2 linked regions of the Ovis aries genome follow. The protein of the gene in region 2 purifies or fractionates together with the protein of the main gene of each other region. This does not show direct contact. Links are inferred from orthologs where the notes say so. Each region holds a gene or a part of one and is shown on either strand. Other genes may lie near its edges. The genes, in order: CCT3 and DNAAF10.

The links.
Region 1: the proteins of DNAAF10 (region 2) and CCT3 purify together in Homo sapiens (affinity purification with mass spectrometry; 3 studies listed by BioGRID and IntAct, counting the BioPlex papers as one, with this or other methods). This does not show direct contact. The link is inferred for Ovis aries from reciprocal best matches to the Homo sapiens genes DNAAF10 and CCT3.

The regions. Positions count from the first base shown.
Region 1 is NC_056054.1:106,316,071-106,320,380, forward strand, and holds the start of CCT3 (T-complex protein 1 subunit gamma), read right to left. Parts: upstream 2,926-4,310; 5' UTR 2,861-2,925; coding exon 2,830-2,860; intron 843-2,829; coding exon 781-842; intron 104-780; coding exon 53-103; intron 1-52. Other genes in the region: TSACC (TSSK6-activating co-chaperone protein), read left to right, coding at 4,137-4,173. UniProt on the Homo sapiens protein: Component of the chaperonin-containing T-complex (TRiC), a molecular chaperone complex that assists the folding of actin, tubulin and other proteins upon ATP hydrolysis.
Region 2 is NC_056056.1:40,186,367-40,190,184, reverse strand, and holds part of DNAAF10 (dynein axonemal assembly factor 10), read right to left. Parts: intron 3,762-3,818; coding exon 3,660-3,761; intron 1,491-3,659; coding exon 1,375-1,490; intron 670-1,374; coding exon 535-669; intron 1-534. UniProt on the Homo sapiens protein: Key assembly factor specifically required for the stability of axonemal dynein heavy chains in cytoplasm.

The sequences.
Region 1 (4,310 bases), on a different chromosome or scaffold from region 2:
AAAACAGAAAGGAAAAATGTGTAGCTGAAGTTTCAGCATGAGATAAGCCTACCTTCATCATAGACTTCGGTCCCAAACATGTTCGGATGATATCTGCGATAGTCTATTGGAAAGAAAATACAAAACGTGTTAAGCACAAACCAGAGGCTGGTGATTGTGCGTTTCAGGGGAAGGGGCATGGGCAACCCACAGAGCCAGTGTTTTAACAAGGACACTTCTAAAGTAGTAGGGTTGGCAACTAACTTTCAATATAGGGTGTCATATGGCTAGATTCTGTTGTCTTTCCCCCTTTGGGAATGTTTTCTGGATGTGCAAAGGAATAACTTTTCAAAAGGAAAAAAAGGGACACAGCTCTCACAGCTACAGTTTCCCAGCAGCTCACAGGTAACTGAGAGTCCACATATCTGTACTTCCTTCCATGAGAGTGGTTCCACCCCATGCTAGATTATATCCAGGGCTGTTTCATTCTTTCATTCAAAAGGTATTTACTGAATATACCTATCCAGGATCCACAGTGAGTACTAGGAATACAAAAGGGAATTAATATAGTTCTTGTATCCAAGTAACTCAGTCTAGTATGGGAGACAGACACAAACACGCAATATAATATGCACAATATGAGAAGGCCATTAGACACATCTCAGAGAGGGAAGGCTTCTTCCTCCTTACCACCAAAAGGGAAATGTCTTGAAGGAAAGGAAATCAAATTTTCTTCCATTAGATCACAAACAAACACACAAACACAAATACAGGCAAACTATTATAAACAACGCATGCTACCTTGGCAGCATTGATGTTTCCAGATTGCACTTTTCTTCCAGATTCACGCTTTGTGTTCTGGCCTAAAACAGATAAAAACAAAAGGCATGGGAGGGAGATTCAAAAGGGAGGGGATATATGTATACCTATGGTTGATTCAAGTTGAGGTTCAACAGAAAACAACAAAATTCTGTAAAGCAATTATCCTTAAAAAAAAAAAAAAAGGCGACAGACCAGTATTGCTCCACTGTATATAAGCTACTCCCTAATCTTTGAAAATAAGCACACACCCAGGTTTCATGGATGTATACACTGATTAAAGCTTATCGACTTGTACTCTTTAAATCAATTATATCTCAACAAACTATTAAAAAATAAGCACACATACTTATGGCTACTTACTTATTTACTTCAATTCCTGATATAATAAGAAACAATCCACACAGCTTCAACTGTGGAATCTTGGTCATCACTTTCCCTCTAACCAAACACTCGTGTATTTATACTCATGTATTGGATTCTCAAAGGGCTGGTGTCCCTAAAAAAGCATGAATCTCTCCTTTATATAACAAGGGAGAGTTTGGGAGTTTGCATTCTCATACTAGGATATGGTGAACCATACCCACAGTCCCAGCATAAATTATTGACAGTGACCCCCAGTGTGCTGTGGAATGAGAACACACACTCAAAAGTATTGGGGTTTGCAAGATATGGTCACTTCATGCTTGGATATAATCAGAATGCCTCGGGTACCAACTTCCCACCAGTAACAGTGTACTATATACTTTAACAGGGAGCAGAATCAGTTACAGCTGCTAATGCCAAGGATTAACAGGGACCTCAGAAAGGTTGCACAATGCACCACTAACTCACCCTAGGGCCCTTTCAATGAGAGAAAAGCCAATGGCCCTAACTGAACCAATGTATTGTTTTTCTCACTCCTTTCTCCAAACTATGTTTTCCCTACAAGTTGTTGTAAAATTTTCGATCTGGTCCCATCAAATCTAAACACAACTCTCTGGATTTAGATCCCTATTTCAAGCAGTGTTAACTAAAATCCTGCATGGATCTTTCTGATGCATTCATCAGAAAAAATAGTTTGTTTTTTTTTTTCCCCCTGGGTTAAGCGAATGCTTGTCTTAAAATAACTATTTTCCAGGTGTAGAGAAAATAGATAAAATCTCGGAATAGCATTCTTTACACAGAAGATGAGATGGTGAGAAAGGCAAAATGGCTAGTCAAGCATGTCAAGTGATCATGCAGGATGAGGTACAGAAGTTACACAGGATAGAAACATACCAGGGGAAGACAAGTGAAATGGGACTTGAAATCTGGGATGTTCCCGAAGGTAAAAAGAACCAATTAAGAAATCGGGAAAACTCAGTTCTTAAAGTGGGAAAGATTACAACGGAGCAGACATTTGCAGGGATAATTACATCTAATATAATATGATCAGTGAGAGAGGCAGGGTTACATCAGGAACAGGGGTTGACAAAAGGAAATTCAAAACAGTTATCAAAAAAAAAAAAATGGCCAAGGAAACTCGCTGTTTGCCAGACCCTCTTTTAAACAATTGTATCTACTTATCTCATTTAAGCCTCACAATTCTACGAGGAAATACTGTTAACCCTAATAATTAAGATAGAACTATTTCGATTTTTATTTGGCCGGAGCCACACCACTATTAAAGGATAGACCAAGATTATAAAGCTAGGTCAAATTAAAAAACATTTATTCATTCAGCTACACACTGAAAATCGCTCAAGGAAAAACGTGCAGGGGCAAGGATTGGGAGTGAAGAACGGAACGCAGAGTGGGAAGCATCTCTCCGAGGTCACTTGCCTGGAAAGACAAACCCTCGCGTTCGGCGAGGGTAAGGTCAATTTGCGTCTGCGGAAGACAGGGGAATGGGTTAAGAAAAGGGGGAGACGGGAGAAGGGGCTTTCAAAATGAACGACTGGAAGGCTCCGTGGCCGAACCAGGGTGCGACTGGGCTGGGGCAAGGCTGTAAAGTGCGGAAAGGGGGGCTGCGGCGAGGGGAGTCCCTTCCCATCCTTCCCCACAACTCACTAAGCACGAGCACCGGACGATGACCCATCATGGCGGCGCGATGCAGAGCCGGGTACCCAGAGCTGGGGGAACCGGCAGAACCTTCTGGAGAGAGAGAACCAGAGAGAAGACCAGAAAACGCTGCCTCCTCTGGGCTCACACCTAAACCCGCTACTCTCTGAGTCACCACCAATCACTGCATGCATCTTACTGACCGGCACGAAAACACACCAATTGACATTCTTAGCCCCACCCCCTGCGTAAGAACGCAGGGCAAGTTAGATAGAGAAAGCACGATGATAGAAATGCGAGGGCACAGGCGCTTGCGCAATAGGGTGGCCGCTCCCGGCCGCGTGCGGCGCGAACCTCAGCGCAAGCGCCGAGGCTCCGGCAGTTGGCCGGCACGCCACTGCGCATGTGTATCAACTACAAGGGTGGGTGCTGGGGCTGAGGCTTTCGATTAACACCGCAGGTGAGGTCATTAAACTCTGGCGTCTAGGCTTCTCTCGGGCCGCGAAGGTCAAGAAAGGCGTGGCAGTTCCACGCTTTCATTCCAGCCTTAGCAACGGGGAGGCATAGAGGGGCGGGACCTAAACCGGCTGTCGAGAGAAGACCTGGCCGGTTTGATGCCGGGTGAAATGGGAGTTGTAGTCCAATCCGACTGGGCTGAGCGGTGACTGTTCTTCCCGGCGCGCTGGGAATTGTGGTTTATTATCTCTGACTCGTTGCTCTGCGTGGACTTTCCCTTTCTTAGGCAGATGCTTTATTCTGAGGCTGTCAGCGGTACCAGGAGGTGATGGCTTAAGTTTTTCCCCGAGTTGTCCTATTCAAAACAAGTGTTTCCTGTAGTGCTCTCAAGATTTTCTTTCTCCACGCCCATTCCCTCCCGTGCCCTCCTCATCGCCTCAGCTGCAGGTTCATTGGAGATGCTGGAGAGCAAGAGTTTTAAAATAACCCTACAGAATAGGAAAAGGACTGATACTACAGAAATTAAAACGAGAGAACACAGAATATTTGCCCGTTCATAGGAGACTCTTAAGGTTTAGGCGTGGTTAAAGTACTCTTTTGTCCAGAAAAAAAAGGAAATAGCTGTTTTCCAAACTAAAGGAAGGGCCGTGAGACCAAAAACAATTCAAAAACAGTTACTTCTATTTAGCCATAAACTAAGACAGTACATCCTTTCACACTTTTTCCTCTCCAAATTGGAACAGCCTGAGCTCTACTGGGGAGAACTTGAGAAATTGTTAATAGTGAAACAGTAAGATGGGTTGTCAGTCATGAGATACTATGATTTTTTTTCCCCAGGCACCACACCTGTGGATGTTCAGATGGAGCAGCTTCCTAGTCATCCTACTAACAAAAGAGGTGTGTGTCAGATGCCCTGCTTCCTCTCCCTTAAAACCAGACCTTCTTAATTGCCCAGCTTTGGGGAAAATGAAGCTAGTTGTATGTATGGTTTTTTCCTATTACTTAGTCGGAAAGTATTTGTATTTGTTACGCGT
Region 2 (3,818 bases):
TGGGCTTGATCCCTGGGTTGGGATACCGGCATATACCTAGAAGTATATAATCGGGTATTAATACAAGTATATTTATTAGGAAACACCAGACTAAGTTTTGTTAACCAAATTCTTTTTCTTAATTAAAAAAAAATTCTGATAGTTGCTTTACAATGTTGTGTTAGTTTCTGCTGTACAACGTGAATCAGCCACACATATACGTATATACTCTCTTGGATTTCCTTCCCATTTATTGTTGACTAATTTCTTAAACCAGCTAGTCTCCTTGTGATTGCTCTTAAACTACAAAATAATAGTCATTACCAATGAAGGCCTTTATTATTAATATAATCAAGAAATATGAAACTGACAAACTTTAGGAAAGTATTCTTTGCACAGAATAACTTATCAAGATCCTATAAGAATATATTAAAAATAGCTCCCTTCATGCAAAAAACCTGGAAGGAACCTGGTGACTCATTCTATTTATTAGTCTAAAGCAAGCTATTAATATGAACATTCCTCTTCATAGAAAGATATTTCCCTCATCTTTACCTTTTCTGAAACAGAAGCAAAACCTTTGGTTGGATGCTGTGTTCTCATGTCAAAAACATGAAACTTTCCTTCCAGAGATGTAGCTACTAACTTATTCATACTTATGTCTTTTCTGTCAAACTCCAAGCTACACACCTGAAAATAGAGAATATTTATGAGTGATGCTCCAATCATTATATCCAAGAGTTTCTTTCAAACCAAGTAAAACAACTGTAACATTATTGGATTATGTGAAAGCACTTTAAAAAAAATCATTTTATCTTTTGAATCTGTATACCGAATACTTGTAACTAGAAAATTTTCTTCTCGGTTAGTAAGGTCCCAAAATCATCTCAGGCACTGAGGTACATTTGGAAAGCCATACTTTAACATTTTACCATTATTACATAATGATTTTATAAAGTCAAGTCAAGGCTGACTAGAGGAAACAGGAAGGAACCACATTCTTCACTAAAGATGTACAACCCGGGAACCAAAAAACCTGTGAGTACCTGGGAGTCAATTACAGTCTTGGTCTTCCTGATATTACCAGAAAAGGGCCTGGTACCAGCTCACTTTAACATCACACTGCATAGCCCACAGGCATCTAGAGATGGGCTACAGGGGCGGTGACCCACCAGGCACTGTCACACCACACCTGGCTGTGTGTTCTCCTTCTGAAGAGTGTCCCTGATTTTTAATCAGATCCTCAAAGGACTTCACAGACCCTAAAGGTTAAGAACCATCCATCCATAAAGGGGTTTTACTGAGACGAGTTATTAGGGGTGCTTTCCTTTTGTAGTTCAGAGGTACGTGGAAAAGACATTCAGAGAAACTGCAAAGAATGCAAATGCAGATTACCCCATTTTTTATATTTGTCTCCCACCGTAAGGACATATTTCTGAGATCAAACAGCTTGATGTCTCCGTTGTCATAGCCAGCACACACGACACGTTCCTCTTGATTATAAGCATTGCCTGGAAATCAGGACATGACATTTCAGATCTTTTTAAATGCTGATTTGAAGGCTGCTTAAAAAACTTATGGACATCCGAGACTAACAACATTGTAAATCAACTATACTCCAATAAAAAACAAAACAATAATCTTACAGAACTACACAGGTAACTTGTACCAAATCAAGTGAAGAAGTCACATTGGATAGAATCTCATTTTACTAATCCTACAGGACATCAAGATTATTAATTTAGTCTCTGATATTGTTTACCAAAAAAACTCTTTATTGAGATTCTGTGCTCAAGAGATATATGAAAGAAAGTGTTTACTGGATTTTAAATTGAAACCAAATATTCTTTCTATACTCTATTTGCAAAGACTAACAATTTAACATAGCAGGGTTCGGTAGAATAAATACAGTTACACTTCCAATGCTTTCTTTGCATGCAAATGGAAACTACTTTAAACTTATTTATTTTGCAAAATGTTGTTCTGGTGTTATCTGATGCTCACAATTGAAGTAAATCTACAACCTGCAGTTGAATTCACCTTGCTCGGATCCAGGAATTTTTTTGGATTACTCCCTCTTCTTATAAACTCCAGCCCTGCATTTCCACTGGAGGGTTCACTGAGATGACATGACAGCAGCTGAAACCTCTGATGTCTAAAACTGATGTCATCGTCTTCCTTTAAAAACTATCATACACTCTGTGGAACTCCTTCAATAAACATCATTCACTTCATAGTCAACCTCAAAATTCAGTCACTTTGGACATAATCCTTTCCCTTGTTCTTCATCTCCAAAAAAATTGCCAAAGTGTATTTATTTTGCCACATTATTTCTTTTTCTTTTTCTTTGCCACATTATTTCTGAATTCACTCCTCTGTTCCATTCTCACTGCTTCTTAACCCTACATGTTTCCTGGAATACTGCAAAGAGCTTCAGAACTCACACTTCCTCTGCCACTCCTCCCGCCTACCCGGCCACAGTGTAAAGCTAAAGCTCTGATCATATCTCCTCCTTGCAGAAGCCTGCGAAGGTTTACCACTACCTCCAGACCATCTAAACGCCTCTGGCTGTGGCCACGTGCCACCTTTAAGGCTAGTCCTACCTCCATTCCTTCTACATACTCGAAATCTCCCCATTTCAGTGTTTCAAATCCTACAAATCCTTGGACTGAGGTCAATATGTTCTTTTGGCTGCCTTGGGATTCCTTCTGTGTTGACCCATGCCTCTGTGACCTTTCATCACTCTGACCTTGTAGGAGTAATACAATTAATGTATCACTTTTTATACATTAGAGCACCTTTTATACTTGTAGCACTTTTTATTAAAGTTACCAGCTTCTTTAATTTAAAATAAGAATCTGCTTCCGATAAATGTCCTTTCTTTAATGTCCTATATTTAAAACTGCACTTACATCCCTTAGAACAATGATTAAAAAGCCTTTAATGGGCCCAAAGTTAATTATTTTTTAATTATTTCATAAATTTTACATGATGATTCTAAACACTAATTCTGAAATTTCTTCCCAAGTGTACATGTTTTTGGCTTATATCATTACTTATACATACACACATAGTAATTATAATATATACACATAGAAATCTCCCAATTTCAGTGGTAATTTAGTTTTAAAAGTATATTAATAGAGGAACATGGTTATAAAATTCGTAAGATATAATTTTATAATAGTATAACTATTTTTAGAAAATAAACACACACCGTGTAGAGCATAATGTGAGACTGGTTAGGTTACCATCTAAGGCTCTACTTAATTTCACTAATGGCATTGGGTTCTAAACTAGGTCAATATCACCAGGTTAAACAAAAATAAATAATAATACTCCATATTTTTGAACACTTGATATCTAAGCACAAGTCTAAGCATTTTACGTGTATTAACTCTGAATCCTCATAACAAAACTATTAAGTAAATTCTATTATGACTTTCATTTTATAAATGAACCAAGCAAAAATCAGAGAAGCCTAATAACTTGCCCCAGGTTACAAAGCCAGTTAAGTAGCACAGTGAGAATTCAAACCCAGGCCCAATCACCATGTCTATCTGCCTCGATAAACTGCCAGAATAATGTACAGAAGAGATTCTAAACTATCAGGACTTTCCTGAAGCACTGTGCTTTTTATAATCTGGCATTTCAGGTGTAAGAGTCCATCGGTAATTTACCAAATGCCACAGTCCAGCAGTCTCTCTTGTTTTCTCCCTGCACGGGTTCCATATTAGCAACAGGATCATCTTTCTGCCGTGGGTCCCACACCTTTACGGTTCCTGACAGAAAAAAAACAGGAGTTGGCAAAATTTAACAGTGAATGATGGCATTTCTTT